4 linked regions of the Rattus norvegicus genome follow. The protein of the gene in region 1 purifies or fractionates together with the protein of each later gene. This does not show direct contact. Links are inferred from orthologs where the notes say so. Each region holds a gene or a part of one and is shown on either strand. Other genes may lie near its edges.

Region 1 (3,500 bases):
ATTTCACCTTACATTCTGGGCAGGTCTAGTGGTAACATATTCTTATCTGTGTGTCTGTCTCTGTCTGTCTGTCCACCTGCCTGCCTATGTTTTAAACTTAGGAACATTGTACACTGTAGCCGTCTTCAGACATACAGAAGGCACCAGATCCCATTACAGATGGCTGTGAGCCACCATGTGGTTGTCCAGAATTGAACTCAGGACCTCTGGAAGAACAACCAGTGTTCCTAACCACTGAGCCATCTCTCCAGCCCTTCTTAGATCTAGAAACATTTCAATTTCTCCCTTGCTTTTGAATGCTGATGTTGCTGGCTATAGGATTCTTTGCCTTTTTTTTTAATTTTTATTTATTTTTTTTCTTTTTCTTTTTTTTCGGAGCTGGGGACCGAACCCAGGGCCTTGCACTTGCTAGGCAAGCGCTCTACCACTGAGCTAAATCCCCAACCCCTTATTTATTTATTTATTTATTTTTATTTAGTACTTTGAACTGATTGGCATTGGCTTCTAGTGTGATAAGAAACCTGCTAATAATCTTAGGGGACTCCGTGGCCTCATCTTTCACTGCCTTCACAAGTCTTTGTCCTTCAGAAGTTTGAAGGTGCTGGGATTGCAGGCGAGCACATTGCCTAACATGCATAGTCACTAGTTTTGATTGGACCGTCTACTTCAGTAACCTATACAGTTGTAATATAATGATGCTTCTTCTGAGAAAATGTAATATGCTTGTTACAGTGTATACAGGTTTTCTCTTTTCATTGAATGTTGCTTTATGTGATTTTTTTTAATAGAACATAGCTTCTCATCTAAGTTTACCTACTATGTTAAGTACAATTTCATTAAATATTTAAATAAATAATTTTGAGTATTACACATAATGCATAGTTACTCCAGAATTGTTTATATATGCATTTCCTTGCAAATTTATTTTATTTTTAATTTCTGTTTAAAATTTTGAGACAGGGCTTGCTATGCAACCAAGACTGGCCTTGAATTTGTTATGTTGCCTCAATCTTCAAGTGATCAGAGAATAAAATTATGAGGTTAAAGCTCTGAGTGTGTGTAACACTGTTGATTTTACCAAAACAGCTGCCAGCTGTCTTCTTAAATGGTTAATCTATTAACATTTTCCACCGTAATGAAAGTGCAAATTTCAGTTTACTTTCTTTTTGCTACATTGAGCTCTGTAATTAAAATATATTTCTCTGCTTCTTAGATTAAAAAATAATAACTTGCTGCATGTCATATCTTTAATTCCACCAGCACTGGCAAGGCAAAGGCAGGAGGATCTCTGTGAGTTTAAGGTCAACCTGGTTGTCATAACAAGTTTCAGACCAGTCAAGGCTGCATAGCGATATGCTATCCCCCTCATCCTCACCTCTTCTCCCCATCCCGAAGAAAGAGAACTTGTCTTTGTTAATAAAACTGTACATGTGCTTTGGTTTTGGCTTGAGATGTTTGTTGGTTGGTTGGTTGGTTTTGTTTTTTAACAAATTACCTTTTTATGTCCTTTCCTCATTTTCTATTTGGCTCATCCTACTAGTCAGTAATGCTGTTCTAATATTTTAGCATCCTACTTTTCTTTAAACAATTGGCTTTATTTATTGAAGATTTTTAAACAACGACAACAAAAGCCCTTTTAAAATATGTTTATTCTATAAACCAGGAGCCTTTTGTGGCCGATGAATACATTGAACGTCTCGTGTGGAGAACCCCGGGAGGTGGTTCTAGGGGTGGACCTGAAGCTTTTGATCCTAAAAGGTAAACTTAACAAAACAAAACAAAACAAAACAAAACAGTCTCCATATAGTACTACGAATTGTGTTTAGAGTAGAGATGACTGTATTGGAATTCTTTTGAGTATTCATATAAAATAATTTTAATTAATAGTTTGTTTCCCACCTCAAAAATTTCTTGAGCTGGAGAAATGGCTCAGTGGTTAAGAGCACTGGCTGCTCTTCCAGAGGTCCTGAGTTCAATTCCCAGCAACCACGTGGTGGCTCACAACCATCTGTAATGGGATCTGATGCCCTCTTCTGGTGTGTCTGAAGACAGCGACAGTGTACTCATATATAATAAATAAATAAATAAATCTTTTAAATAAAGTTTCTTAACAGCATTAGAAGTCTGAAATAGTGTTTTTCCTTAGCTGATTGGGTAAAAGGATTTTATCCTTTATTAAGAATTTAATTTTTCCACTTAGCATTAAATTAGAAAAGGCTGGTTATACTTGTGGGTATGGTATTGACCACCTGCGATCTAAGTACTCTAGAGGCTGAGGCTGGGTTGTGAGTTGGAGGTTAGCCTAGAATACATAGCAAAACCCTGATCCTGAATAAGCAAATTAATAATAAGAAAAAGTTGACTATGTTCTTTTAAATTTAATAGCTGTAAATCAGGGAAACAGTCAATAAAGTCTATAATGTATACAATTTTTGTTGTACGTTTGTCTTCTTGAATTTTAAATAAAGTAGAGCTTGTTTGGATATTTAATGGGGATTTGTTCAGGTTTTTATTTACCTTAGAGATAATCCGTTGCAAAGTCAATAACAACTGGCTGTTTTTCCTAATGCTATGTATTGTTAAAGTCACGTGACCTGTTCTAAGTGGAAAGAAAGCTATGACATTAAATAAATTGCAACAAGATGCTGTAAAGAAAGTGAATACACTTGTCCCTGTCTCAGAGGACCCTTACTAAAACCTTCATAAAACTGGTCTGTTCCTTATGGCTAATAATAGGCAAATTGATTGTACTATTACTTTCCTCTGTTAGGTTATTAGAAGAATTTGTGAATCATATTCAAGAACTACAGATAATGGATGAAAGGATTCAAAGGAAAGTAGAGAAGTTAGAACAGCAGTGTCAGAAGGAGGCAAAGGAGTTTGCTAAGAAGGTACAAGAGCTGCAGAAAAGCAACCAGGTACACTTAGCTCAGAAATGAGCGGCTATGAACTGTAACATCTTCATTCTCTTACACACAGTTTCTTCAACCCTTTTACCTTAGGTCTTTGAAGAGCCAAGTCAAATTGTATTAACGTCTAACTTTGTTCCTGTGGAATAAGATATTAATGTTTGTTTGTGACTGCCTAGCATTGTCGTTGGTGTGCTACTAGATGGGTTCTAACCCAGTGCTGCCCTGTTCAGGTTAGGGCGGTAGATGCTTAGAAGTGACCCTTGCTTCCCACCTCTTAATTGAGTAAGCTTTCACAAGACTGACTAGTCCCTAGCCCTGCATTTTGAGAACTACCTTACTAGTATGGATATTTAAGGAGTCATTTTAATATAATTTAATCATAAATAAGACCAACCTGGAACAAGTTATTCCCGAGAGCAGTAGTTCTTAACCTTCCTAATGCTGGGACCTTTTAAGACTGTTTCTCATGGTGTGCTCACCTCCAACCATTAAATTGTTTCGTTGCTACTTCATTGCTGTAATGTTGCTATTGTTAAGACTCATAGTGTAAATATTTGATATTTAGGATATCTGATACATGATCCCCCC
Region 2 (4,020 bases), on another chromosome or scaffold:
GGGAGGAGGAAGAGGAAAAGGAGGAGGAGGAGAAGGAGAGGAGGAGGAGGAGAAGGAGGAGGAGAAGGAAGAGGAGGAGAGGAGGAGGAAGAGGAGGGGAGGGGAGGAAGAGGAGGAGGAAGAGGAGGAGGAAGAGGAGGAGGAAGAGGAAGAGGAGGAGGAAGAGAAGGAGAGGAGGAGGAAGAGGAGGAGAGGAGGAGGAGGAGGAGGAGGAGGAGGAGGAGATGATCATCCTGGTAGAGTATGTTATCCTGCCTTCGCAATCACCTTTTCTAGTTCTACCTCATTATGAACTCATTCAGTATAGAATTAAAGCTTGAATGGCCTTTGTACCTGGAAATCAAAGTTCCCAGCACTCAATCCCTGCCAGGGATGTGGCCTAAATGAATCACTTGTCTTATAGCTCACAATCTTGGCATCATTCATGCCTCTCACACTGAAACAAGTATCACCTTTAAAACAAAGATTCTGTTTCAGTATCTGATGTGAGCCGGCGGGTGCAGTTTCTAAAAAGCACCCAGGAAGGTCTGCGCAGTCCGCCCGGTAGAGTATGAAGTGCGTAAGTGACATGGTTCTAGACCTAAACACGTTATGGGAATTAAGTGGGGAGAAATTAAGGATACTAGTGATGTCTAGGTTCCTCTCCCAGAGATTCTGACTTAACTCATTGAAGTGCTCCGAAGAATCTAGAGTTAACAGGATTTTACATATGCAAAGGAGAAAACATTTAATGAGCTCTCAAATGATTTGCCACAAATATCAGAATGGGTACATCTAGAAAAAGAAAATACCACCATTATCAACTCCTCTAATCAGTGGTTATCTATGCTAGTGGTTCTCAACTTTCCTAATGCTGCAACCCTTTAATACATTTCCTCATGCTGCAGTGGGTCCCAACCATTAAACTATTTCATTTCTATTTTATAACTGTAATTTTGCTGCTGTTATCAATTGTAATGTAAATATCTGATATATGGGATATCTGATATGTGACCCCTATGAAGGGATCATTTGACCGCGAAAGACCCACAGGTTGAGAACCACCAGTCTACGAGCTTGCGGGTTCGGTCCTTGCCTTTTCCACGCCCACTGTCTGGCCCGGTCCCACCCATCAAGGCAACGTTCGACCTCCTCCAAGTCCATTGGTCAATCTGTTCCCTTCCATTGTCTCCGTTTCCGGCTCCACAAGATCAACTTCCGGTACAGAGCGGCACGTGACCGGATACGGGAAGTGGCGGCTTCTGGCCGCTTCTTTTCCCAGCTCAATGAAAAGCGTTTCATAGCTGCTCTTGCTGCCGGCGCCCTTGTAGAGTCCGTCTTGGAGCACCAACCTCGGCCGGCCGGCCTCGCGGTAAGCTTCCGGCCGGGGACCGGCGGTCCTGGAGGTGGTAGCCTAAGTGGAGGCAGTGTTCAATCTGCGTCAGGTCGGCCACTCCCAAGTGACACGGCCCACCCACCCTGCTGCCCTCCAGGGCTGCAGAACCGCTGCTGCAGAGCCCGGACTGAGTCCTTACTTCTTCCTGTCCTGGGCTCTGGGAGAAGACGGAGCCCGGAGGCAGCCTAGGGTCAGTCCTCAGTTCCGCCCATCCGGGACAGATTTCATTTTTGCCAAATTAGCGTGGTTTGGGAGAGGAGAACGTGACCTGGCTTCTGCCGGTCCAAATCAACAAATATGTCCTTATAAATCTTAAAAGGGCGTTGCCCAGCCTCTGAGCAGTTTTCGTTTTTTGGATGACAAGTCTTGAGATGTCACTGCAGTAGATGGGCCCAACCCACTAAGGCACTTGCACTGACACACAGTGTAATGATGGCCCTATCAAGGTGCAGGAAGTAAGATACGCGATGAACAGAGGTTAGCTGCCTCTGTAACGGGCAGCCTTGAGGTTTTAGAAGGCGAAGAACTAAAGAGAACCCAGAATATGGGCGTGGGTTTTAGACTTGGTAAATAGTTGTGAAGGCCACTATTAATAATACTGGCATAATATAAAGTTCTGTATAAACATTGGAGAATTCATCACTAACCCCAAAGAAGACTGACTGTTACAATTCTACATCATCCCATTCATGTCTTTCAGATTCTCCACTATACCCCCAGAGTGCTACCTGGCACTTAGTGAATAGTAATATTTGTTGAATTACGTCTAATTTCTTTTATGAGTTATAACCAGTCCTCTGCTGTTTGGCTGTTTACCATGCACGGAGTCTTTAGTATGGTGAATATTGGCCTGAGTTAATTGTTCTGTTTACCAGTTTTTACTGTTTCAATAAAACAGGTTACACCAAGAGGTTGTAGTAAGTACCCAACACACAAACCTGTGTTAGAGCACCCTCCCTCCTCCTCTTCCTCCTCCTCCTCCTCCTCCTCCTCCTCTTCCTCCTCTTCCTCCTCTTCCTCCTCCTCTTCCTCTTCTTCCTCTTCCTCCTCCTCCTCCTCTTCTTCCTCCTCCTCTTCTTCCTCCTCCTCCTCCCAAGAGATGACTGTGGAGACCTAGGAGATGATACTCATGTCCCCATTAGATAGCAAGCACTTGTCTCGTAAATACAGTAAGTGCTCTAGACATTTGCATGGGAAGAGCAATGAGGATTAAGACTTTTACTGAGTCAGCTTCATCCAAATGGAGAAATGTACGTTTGAATAGGGAAAAGATAATCTGGCCTGCATGGGAAAGTGCTTAACCAAAGATTTCAAGTCAGAAACAACACAGTGCTTTGAATGCAAGGCATGGCTTGAGAACAGTGGTATAATGAGGACTGGTTTAAAGTTATTTACTAGTTTTTCAGGGAACTTGTAGAAACTTTAAAAAAAGAAAAAGGTAACAGGTGCTATTACTTAAAGGCAGTAAATCTTGGTTGCTTGGTAGCCAGATGGGGGAAAAGTAAATTATATGTAGATGGAGAAGTCACTGCGTACGCTAACAGATTTCACGTTGGCATGGAGGAAGCAATGAACTAGGGCAGAGTTTGAGTCTGGGTTGTTTTCTTATAGATTCAAAAGTTGGAAAGAGGTAACTTGGAGGGAACTATCCCTGGTCTGTTGTTGAGTGCAACAGTATTTCCCTAAATGTTTACTAAGCACTCGCTGTGTGCCTCGTGGCAAATGCTAGGAATATAAAGATGGATAAGATGAGATCCTTGCCGAGAGAGAACTGCTTTTAGTAGGGTCTAGAGTGCACTAGCTAGAAAACACTGGTTGGAGAGCTGCTGCCAGTAGAGGTAAGCTGGGGAACAGAAGAGGAGGAAGGCTTCAAAGAAGATGCAGTGTGTTATCAGAATGGTTGAGGGTGAGTTGGAATTTGCAGTGACAAGAATTTCAGAATGAGGAAAATAGTGAACAAAGCCCAGAGACAGTACAGTAAACTGCAGTGTCCACTTGAGTTTGAGGATAGGATAGAGTATCGCTTTAATGTCACACCTGGGCCCTAGGGCACATTAAGGGGTGTGCCACAAGCTAGAGTCATCTGAAAGAAGGAAACCGCCATTGAGAAAATGCCCCCGTAAGATCCAGCTGAAGGGCATTTTTTAAATCCGTGGTTGACGGGGGCTGGATCATAACAGCAGTTGCATGCCTGACTTGCAGAAGGGACTGCAGGACTGTTCTAAAGCCTCCCTGCCATTTGTGATCCTCCCAGCTGGGTGGGGGAGGCCCCTTCCTCATTGCTTACTGCTGTGTGTCCTGTGGGTTTTTAGCCTTCCCAGCAGTTGAAAGTAGGATTCTTGCCGCAGATGTCAGTCGTATTTCCCAAGTGGTTGATGGTATGAAACCTTTTGGGTTTCTGGTGTGCATCTTTGCAATAGGCAAAGGGCGGCTGCACATGTTTTTCCTTAGCACCATCCACGCCCCCTTTTCTTGTGCGTGGTCTCTCACCAGATTGGCGCTCCAACCATAGGTGAAGTTGTCTGCTCAGTGCACTCCAGGGATCTGCTTGTCTCTGCCTCCCCAGCATGAGGTTGCAGGCAGGCTTCCCCATGCACTGCTTGTTAAATGAGTTCTGGAAACTAACAAGATTGGACTTGTGTCCT
Region 3 (3,939 bases), on another chromosome or scaffold:
AAAAAACAAACCCTCGCCTGGCATGGTGGCGCAGGCCTTTCATCCTAGTCCGTGGGAGGCAGATGCAGGAGGATCTCCCAGTTCCGGGCCAGCCTGGTCTACAGAGTGAATTCCAGGGCAGCCACAGATACATAGTGAGACCCTGTCTCCAAAAAAAAAAAAAAAAAAAAAAGAGCCAGCAAATCCTTATCCTTGGGCAGTTCAACGAAAGTCCCTGATAGAGGGCTTTTTAATAACACTTGATCACCCTCACACCCTCACCCACTGTTATCCTCTCTGCTCCGCACCGGGACTTGTCACGGGGCCGATGTGAAGTTAGAAGTACGCTACGTCTCAGCCTGCTTCAGCTCAGGCTGCTATGTGACGGTGTATATGCAGGGCAGATTATTATCTAGAACAGGATTTCTCAAACTCAGTGGGTAGATGAGGGATCCTGCTGGTACATCTCTGAGAGCCGTTGGGCCACGAGGAGGGGACACACCAACGACAACTCAGCGCCCTTGCCCTTCCCTACGTTCCGAGCCGTTCGTGGGCGCACTCACAGTGTCATGCGCACACTCCACTTCACCTCCACGGCCTCCAGCTGACCCCAGAAGAAGCGATCGTTAAACTGCAGGAAGAGCGCCTGCAGGTCCGGGGTGGGGTCCACCAGCTCCCAGGACGCGTCCACCAACGATAGGGGCTCCCGCGCCGCCGCGCGCCGCGCCGCCTGCACGTCCCACTCCTCCTGCAGCCGCAGCGCGACCACCAGATCCTCGTCCATCCCGATACTCTCACTTCAGCCGCTCCCAAGACGCCGGTCGGGCTCGTGAGGCGTACGGATCTCGCGAGACCTCCCGGCCCCGCTGTCAGGGCGCGCGGGCTCGCCTCGAACGCCTAACCGAAGGTGGCTCGGCTCTGCCCCGCGGACACAGACTTAGGAACGCTGGGCTCGGGGTAGGGACGGCTTCAGGAAGCCAGTTGTCTCCAGACCGCCGCCGAGGTCCAGCGCCTCACGTCAAGTCTGGTCCGTGCCCGACCCTCCTCTGACTTCCGTACTGGCCCGTCCGCGCACGCGCCTTAAGACGCTGCCGTTTCCGCGCAGGCGCGTCGTCGACACTCCGCCCCGGGCGCAGGCGCAGTGTGAGAGTCTCGACTTTGGCACAGGCGCAATGCAGCGCTCGGCCCCGGCGCAGGCGTTTGGGTGTTGCTCCCGCCCCGCTTCCTCTACCGCTTCTCCACCGGGCTCGGGTGGGGCCGGGAGGCGGCGAGTGACAGCCACTGCGGGCCGCGGGAGCAGGGCGGGTGGCAGCCATGTCGGACAGCGGGGCGAGCCGCCTGCGGAGGCAGCTGGAGTCGGGGGGCTTCGAGGCGCGGCTGTACGTGAAGCAACTGTCGCAGCAGTCGGACGGCGACCGCGACCTGCAGGAGCACCGACAGCGGGTGCAGGCGCTGGCGGAGGAGACGGCGCAGAACCTGAAGCGCAACGTCTACCAGAACTACCGGCAGTTCATCGAGACGGCGCGCGAGATCTCCTACCTGGAGAGCGAGATGTACCAGCTGAGCCACCTGCTGACGGAGCAGAAGAGCAGTCTGGAGAGCATCCCGCTGGCACTGCTGCCCGCCGCTGCCGCGGGCGCATCCACGGGTGAGGACACGGCGGGCGCGGGACCGCGGGAGCGCGGGGCGGCCCAGGCGGGCTTTCTTCCGGGGCCGGCCGGAGTCCCTCGCGAGGGCCCCGGGACGGGAGAGGAGGGCAAGCAGCGAACGCTCACCACGCTGCTGGAGAAGGTGGAGGGCTGCAGGGACCTGCTGGAGACACCAGGTCAGTACCTTGTGTACAACGGGGACCTGGTGGAATACGAGGCAGACCATATGGCCCAGCTGCAGCGAGTGCATGGCTTCCTCATGAACGACTGTCTGCTGGTGGCCACTTGGCTACCACAACGGCGAGGCATGTACCGCTACAACGCACTCTACCCACTGGACCGCCTGGCTGTGGTCAACGTCAAAGACAATCCACCTATGAAAGACATGTTCAAGCTGCTCATGTTCCCTGAGAGCCGAATCTTTCAAGCGGAAAATGCCAAGATTAAACGCGAGTGGCTGGAAGTGCTGGAGGAAACCAAGAGGGCGCTCAGCGACAAGAGGAGACGGGAGCAGGAGGAGGCAGCCGCCTTGCGTGCGCCACCACCGGTCACTTCCAAGGGCAGCAACCCGTTTGAGGATGAGGCCGAGGAGGAACTGGCCACCCCGGAGGCAGAGGAGGAAAAGGTTGACCTTTCCATGGAGTGGATCCAGGAGTTGCCGGAAGACCTGGATGTTTGTATTGCGCAGAGGGACTTTGAGGGTGCCGTGGACTTGCTGGACAAATTAAATCACTATCTTGAAGATAAGCCCAGCCCACCTTCTGTGAAAGAGCTGAGGGCCAAAGTGGATGAACGAGTGCGACAGCTCACCGAGGTGCTTGTGTTTGAGCTCTCCCCGGATCGCTCTCTGAGAGGTGGCCCTAAGGCTACTCGAAGGGCAGTGTCTCAACTGATCCGTCTCGGCCAGTGCACTAAGGCTTGTGAGCTGTTTCTGAGGAACAGGGCGGCAGCTGTGCATACTGCCATCCGCCAGCTTCGAATTGAGGGCGCCACTCTGCTCTATATTCACAAGCTGTGCCATGTCTTCTTTACCAGCCTCCTAGAGACTGCACGGGAGTTTGAGACAGACTTTGCAGGCACGGACAGTGGCTGCTACTCTGCCTTTGTGGTCTGGGCAAGGTCTGCCATGGGCATGTTCGTGGATGCTTTCAGCAAGCAGGTTTTTGACAGCAAGGAGAGCCTGTCCACTGCTGCCGAGTGTGTGAAGGTAGCCAAGGAGCACTGCCAGCAGCTGGGAGAGATTGGGCTGGATCTCACCTTCATCATCCATGCCCTCCTGGTGAAGGACATCCAGGGGGCCTTGCTCAGTTACAAGGAGATTATCATTGAAGCCACCAAGCACCGAAACTCGGAGGAGATGTGGCGTCGGATGAACCTGATGACTCCTGAGGCCCTGGGCAAGCTCAAGGAGGAGATGAGAAGTTGCGGGGTCAGTAACTTTGAGCAGTATACGGGGGATGACTGCTGGGTGAACCTGAGCTACACTGTGGTAGCCTTCACCAAGCAGACCATGGGCTTCCTGGAGGAGGCACTGAAACTGTACTTCCCAGAGCTACACATGGTGCTCCTGGAGAGTCTGGTGGAAGTCATACTGGTTGCTGTGCAGCATGTGGACTACAGCCTGCGCTGTGAGCAGGACCCAGAGAAGAAGACTTTCATCCGGCAGAACGCATCCTTCCTTTACGACACTGTCCTCCCAGTGGTGGAGAGGAGGTTTGAGGAAGGTGTGGGGAAGCCTGCCAAGCAGCTGCAGGACCTTCGGAATGCATCGAGACTCCTGCGGGTGAATCCTGAGAGCACCACGTCTGTGGTCTGAGGCTCTGGTTCGATGCTGTGTGTGCGTCTGTCTGTCTGTCTGTCTGTCTGTCTGTATGTATGTATGTATGTCTGTACACACACATGTACTACAGATGCATTGTTTGTATTCACATTACACAATATCAACACATTCCTCAGACACAAACAGCATATAAAAGTGCCCTCTTAAAAATGCAGTCAAAAGAAGAAAGATAATGTGTTAAGTGCTCCCTCCCACATAGAGGGATTATTAGAGCACATACTGTGCTTTTTTTTTTTTTTAAACTCTTTAAGGAGTGTATGGTCACAGCAGCATTTCAGGTCACTCTTTAACCTGAAACACACTTGTCACAGTAGCACATCCTGGAACATTGCACTTCTGTGCTGCCTAGAAAAATATGCAAGTCCACAGGGTTTAAGTTGTGAAGCATTCCAGTTCAACAAAATGGCTTCTGAACGGTCATTGCTGTGTAGCGCCCCTGTGTCATGTACTCAAGAAGCAAGCCAAATTGGG
Region 4 (4,024 bases), on another chromosome or scaffold:
AGAGCCACCATTCTGGCTTTGCTGGCAGGGTAGCCTTACCTGATAAACGTCAAGTCACTGAGACCTGAAGAGTTTTGTTTCACTGTGAAAGGCTATGCGACTGCCAGAGATTTCTTACCAAATTTCCTTAGGACCTCTGCTGCCAAGCCTCTCCCTCATGTATGGAGTGTTCCCTTGCTCTTCAGAAGGGATGGTTCTGGAAACATTTTGACATATCTTCTCACAAATAGGAGAGCAAAATGAAGCCATATGATATCTCTTAATTCGTAGTACCTGAACAGCACCCTCCTCAGTGTATGCACTGAGTGAATGCATAACGCTGCACATAAAGATACTTGAGAAAGAAAAGAGAGCTTAGGCCAGTGGCTCTCAGCTTCTCTGGGGGAAATGATCATTTCACAGGGGAAAACAGATATTTACATTGCATTCATAACAGTAGTAAAATTACAGTTATGAAGTAACAACAAAATAATTTTATGGTTGTGGGGTGGGAGGGTCAGCACAATACAGAGCACTGTATGAAAGGGTCTCAGAGTTAGAAAGGTTAGGCTGTTATGGTCTTAGATAATGGGAACCCTGTAGCTATTTCTCTCTACAGTCATGGCAACACAACCACAAGTAGACCCGTGTTCTATGCTTCTGCCACTGTCCTTTGTTGCTTGGACTGCTATGGAGGAAGTCACAGGGGAACTCCTGCTTCTGTTCAGCCGGCCTTCTCTAGAGCCCAGCACACAGGAGGGTACACTCAAAGCTTAGGGCTTTGGGATTGTAGATGGAAGTCATTTCTATAATTTGGGGGTCTTGTGAGTTTGCAAATCAATTTGCCTCTCAGAGCCTTGGAACTCCAAAGCTTTGACCTGTGAGATCCCTTAAGGCGGGGTACTCCTGGCTAGATGCAGTCCTTTGATTGAGGTTTGCCTCAGCCCTGGAGCTGATCCCTGACCCATTGTGAACTCTTTAGCAATATCTACTGTGACCCTAACCACTGTACCTCTTTACCTCTCCCCTCTTTTTCTTCTCCTAATTCCACCCTTTCACTTTCTCCCTCTCTTCCTTTCTGCTTCCCTCCTTTTCTCCCTTTCCCACCAATTCCTCTTCTTCTTTCCACCTCTCTACCTTCCTCTTCCCCTTCCCCTCCTTTTCCCTTTCGTCCCTCCCTCTCCACTTTCATCCTGTCTGTCATCTCCATCTAATTTCCCTTCTCCATAGTCTAGTCCTCCCCCCCCCCCCATCCAGGACTCGGCGCTCGGCTAGGCGGCGGATCGACGTGCTCGGCGCTCGCGGCGTGCGGAAGTGCGGCCCTACGGCAGACTGCTGCGGCCCGGAGCGGGTTGGCCCGGACCTGACGCCGCCTGCAAGCTGCAGGTAAGTGTAGCGTCCGGGGCCCGGAGTGGAACCGCAGGGCACCGAACCGTCGGGGCTGAGCGACCTGGGACGGCGCCGTGAGGGACCCGGGCGCGTTTGGGAGCTGCGGGCCGAGTCTTCCCACCCGCCTCCGCGCTGGCCTCCGGGCTGGACCCGGGAGGAGCGGCAGATATGGAGGGTTGGTTTTTAATCCGCGTAACCCCCCCATACTAACGCGGATGGGAAGCTTGAGTGGTTTCTTTACTACTCTGGGAGTAGCAAGTGCGTGTTCAGCCACACCTTCATTAGACCATTTGGATGCCTTATACTAAAAAAAACAAAACAAAAAACAAAACAAAACAAAACAAAAAACCAAAAAACTAATGGCTACTGGTTATCTCCCTACTAATGCATAGTAAGACTTTGTTTATAAAGCTTAGCATGTGATGGCCCAGGCTTGGTAACAGATTCCGCCAGTGGCAGTCAAAACTGACAGTCAAAACAAGAAGATCTAAATGTGAAAAATTTGTGATTCGAAAGACGCTGATGCGAGCTTGCTTCTTACATCTTCTCTTTTGTTTGACTCAGTAAAAGTATTTTTAAGCAAGGGAACAGATTGTTTACTCCGTTTGTTGGAAAGAATTTTTGGGGACATTGAAAAGTGGTCTTTTTTTTCCCTTGTCAATTATTTAATTTACTGTTCCAGACGTTTTGAACTATTAGCCTCCAAAGGTGACACCTCGAAGGTTACATTCAAAACATTTGTAAAGGCTGTACGGGGCTTTTTCAACTCTTGCCACTTAAAACTTATAAAGAATATTCATGACTTTATAAAATAGGTAGGCAATGTAGCCATTCACTAACCGTAAATCACAAAGCATTTTATTTTTGTATACATGTAAACATCATTTTTTAAAGATGAAAGCGTAGAGTTGGATAACTCAATTCTCTTTACATAAAGAGTTAAGTCTTGGTTTAATATTTGTAACCACAGGACACTGAGCATCTTCAATGCTTTTCAGAACTGATTATTTTAATTTTCTAATCATCAGTACTGGGAACATTGCTCCATATAAATACATAGTACAAAATGGTAGGAGTGCAGTTAGGAACATTTTGGAAATTGTTGCAAATTTGTCCTTACTCCCAAGCAAAACTCATTGATGATCTTTCTAGAACTTCAAATCAGCAACTCTAAACAGCAGTTCTTCAAATTAAAATCCTGACACAACACGAGTCAAAGACCCATTTATCTGATGATTGCATGCTGAGGAAGGCCAGGTAGGGAAATGTATATAGTCTTTGCTTTCTGTAATCAAACCATTCTTCTTCTTTAAGAACAGAACACTTTGTATATATATATAGTGTGTGTTCGTTTTCCATTGGTGTAACCAAGTTCCTGCCAAGCAGCATAAGGGAAGAAGGGCTTAGTCTGGTTTATAGATTGGAGTTATATCACCCATGCTGGTGAGGCAGCTCCATGGTGGCAGGACTGTGCCCTGGGACACCTCAGGAACTGGAAGCAGGTAGAAGTCAGGCTGTAGGGCTGGGCTCAAAAACCTCAAGTCCCCACCCCCTGGCGACTCACTTTCACAACAAGGCTCTTCATCCTAAAGCTTTCAAAACTACCTAAAACAGTGTTAGGAGGTTTGGAGCCTATAGGAGATATTTTCTGTTCAACTAGTAACATACAGTGAAAACGACTGCTATTTGTAACATAAAGTGATTTGACTCTGAATTGTATGTTTGTATGTTTGGTTTTAATACTCTCGTGACATGGCACCGTGGACAGGGAGAGAGAGAGTTCAGAACCAATGCTGTGATAAAGTTGGATTGAGTACTCCTAGTAACACTTTTGATTCACTATATGTTTGATTTTTAAATTCATTTTTGACCCCATGTGTTCAGAAGACTTAACTTTTTTTTTCTCCCCCTCTACCTCCACATTCCGTTACCTATATTCAGTATAACCTACAGGATTGCCACCCACAGTTTAAGAATCTGCATTCTGGTAAAAGACTTGGTGTTGAATAGAATCTCTAAGTGTATAGCAACAGCAGGATCTTACCACGTAGGAAACGCTAGGGATAAACTTGTCTCTTAGTTAACCTTTTCACACACTTTCTGGTCTCACTCTGCTCAGGTGCTCAGCTTGGCTGAAGTGATCCTCGTGGCACAGTTTCCTCAGTGCTAAGACACACACCACTATCTATGCCCGGCTTTTCTGTACTCACCTTTATCAGGCCCCGGCTCCTAGTAGCGCCTACTGCATAGTACACAGATTATGTTTTTAGTGTTTATCTAGTAGATGAGTTTTAGGCTTACATTAAAGTAGGTGATTTTGAGGTTGATCGGGTGGGAAATAACTTTGGTTACTAAGTGGTACGAGGAAGCATTGAGTGATGAACTCTGGGGCGTGTAGGTGTGTACCCCCACGACTCCCTGTAGAACTCGATTGGTAGTGACTATTCACAATGATCAGCATAAGCGTAATCTGGGCTGCCTCTGAGTGGCAGTGAGGGAGCATGGGTAAATGCTCTCTGGTTATTTGAGAGCCTTCGGTCAAGCATGGCATTTGGAACCAACTTGTTTGACAGCTGCCTTCCCCTAATAACACTTGGTCATCAAAAAAGCTTCTTGAATATTCTTTTTTTTTGTTCCGGAGCTGAGGACCGAACCC

What was found.
Region 2: the proteins of Exoc5 (region 1) and Exoc1 purify together in Homo sapiens (affinity purification with mass spectrometry; 4 studies listed by BioGRID and IntAct, counting the BioPlex papers as one, with this or other methods). This does not show direct contact. The link is inferred for Rattus norvegicus from reciprocal best matches to the Homo sapiens genes EXOC5 and EXOC1.
Region 3: the proteins of Exoc5 (region 1) and Exoc8 purify together in Homo sapiens (affinity purification with mass spectrometry; 5 studies listed by BioGRID and IntAct, counting the BioPlex papers as one, with this or other methods). This does not show direct contact. The link is inferred for Rattus norvegicus from reciprocal best matches to the Homo sapiens genes EXOC5 and EXOC8.
Region 4: the proteins of Exoc5 (region 1) and Exoc2 fractionate together in Homo sapiens (co-fractionation; 4 studies listed by BioGRID and IntAct, with this or other methods). This does not show direct contact. The link is inferred for Rattus norvegicus from reciprocal best matches to the Homo sapiens genes EXOC5 and EXOC2.

What each region holds. Positions count from the first base shown.
Region 1 is NC_086033.1:24,821,442-24,824,941, reverse strand, and holds part of Exoc5 (exocyst complex component 5), read left to right. Parts: intron 1-1,663; coding exon 1,664-1,758; intron 1,759-2,770; coding exon 2,771-2,918; intron 2,919-3,500. UniProt on the Homo sapiens protein: Component of the exocyst complex involved in the docking of exocytic vesicles with fusion sites on the plasma membrane.
Region 2 is NC_086032.1:32,011,328-32,015,347, reverse strand, and holds the start of Exoc1 (exocyst complex component 1), read left to right. Parts: upstream 1-1,220; 5' UTR 1,221-1,351; exon of another isoform or gene 1,352-1,565; intron 1,566-4,020.
Region 3 is NC_086037.1:69,752,077-69,756,015, reverse strand, and holds Exoc8 (exocyst complex component 8), read left to right. Parts: upstream 1-1,139; 5' UTR 1,140-1,293; coding exon 1,294-3,444; 3' UTR 3,445-3,629; downstream 3,630-3,939. Other genes in the region: DNA-dependent metalloprotease SPRTN, read right to left, coding at 543-763. UniProt on the Homo sapiens protein: Component of the exocyst complex involved in the docking of exocytic vesicles with fusion sites on the plasma membrane.
Region 4 is NC_086035.1:33,713,732-33,717,755, forward strand, and holds the start of Exoc2 (exocyst complex component 2), read left to right. Parts: upstream 1-1,224; 5' UTR 1,225-1,365; intron 1,366-4,024. UniProt on the Homo sapiens protein: Component of the exocyst complex involved in the docking of exocytic vesicles with fusion sites on the plasma membrane.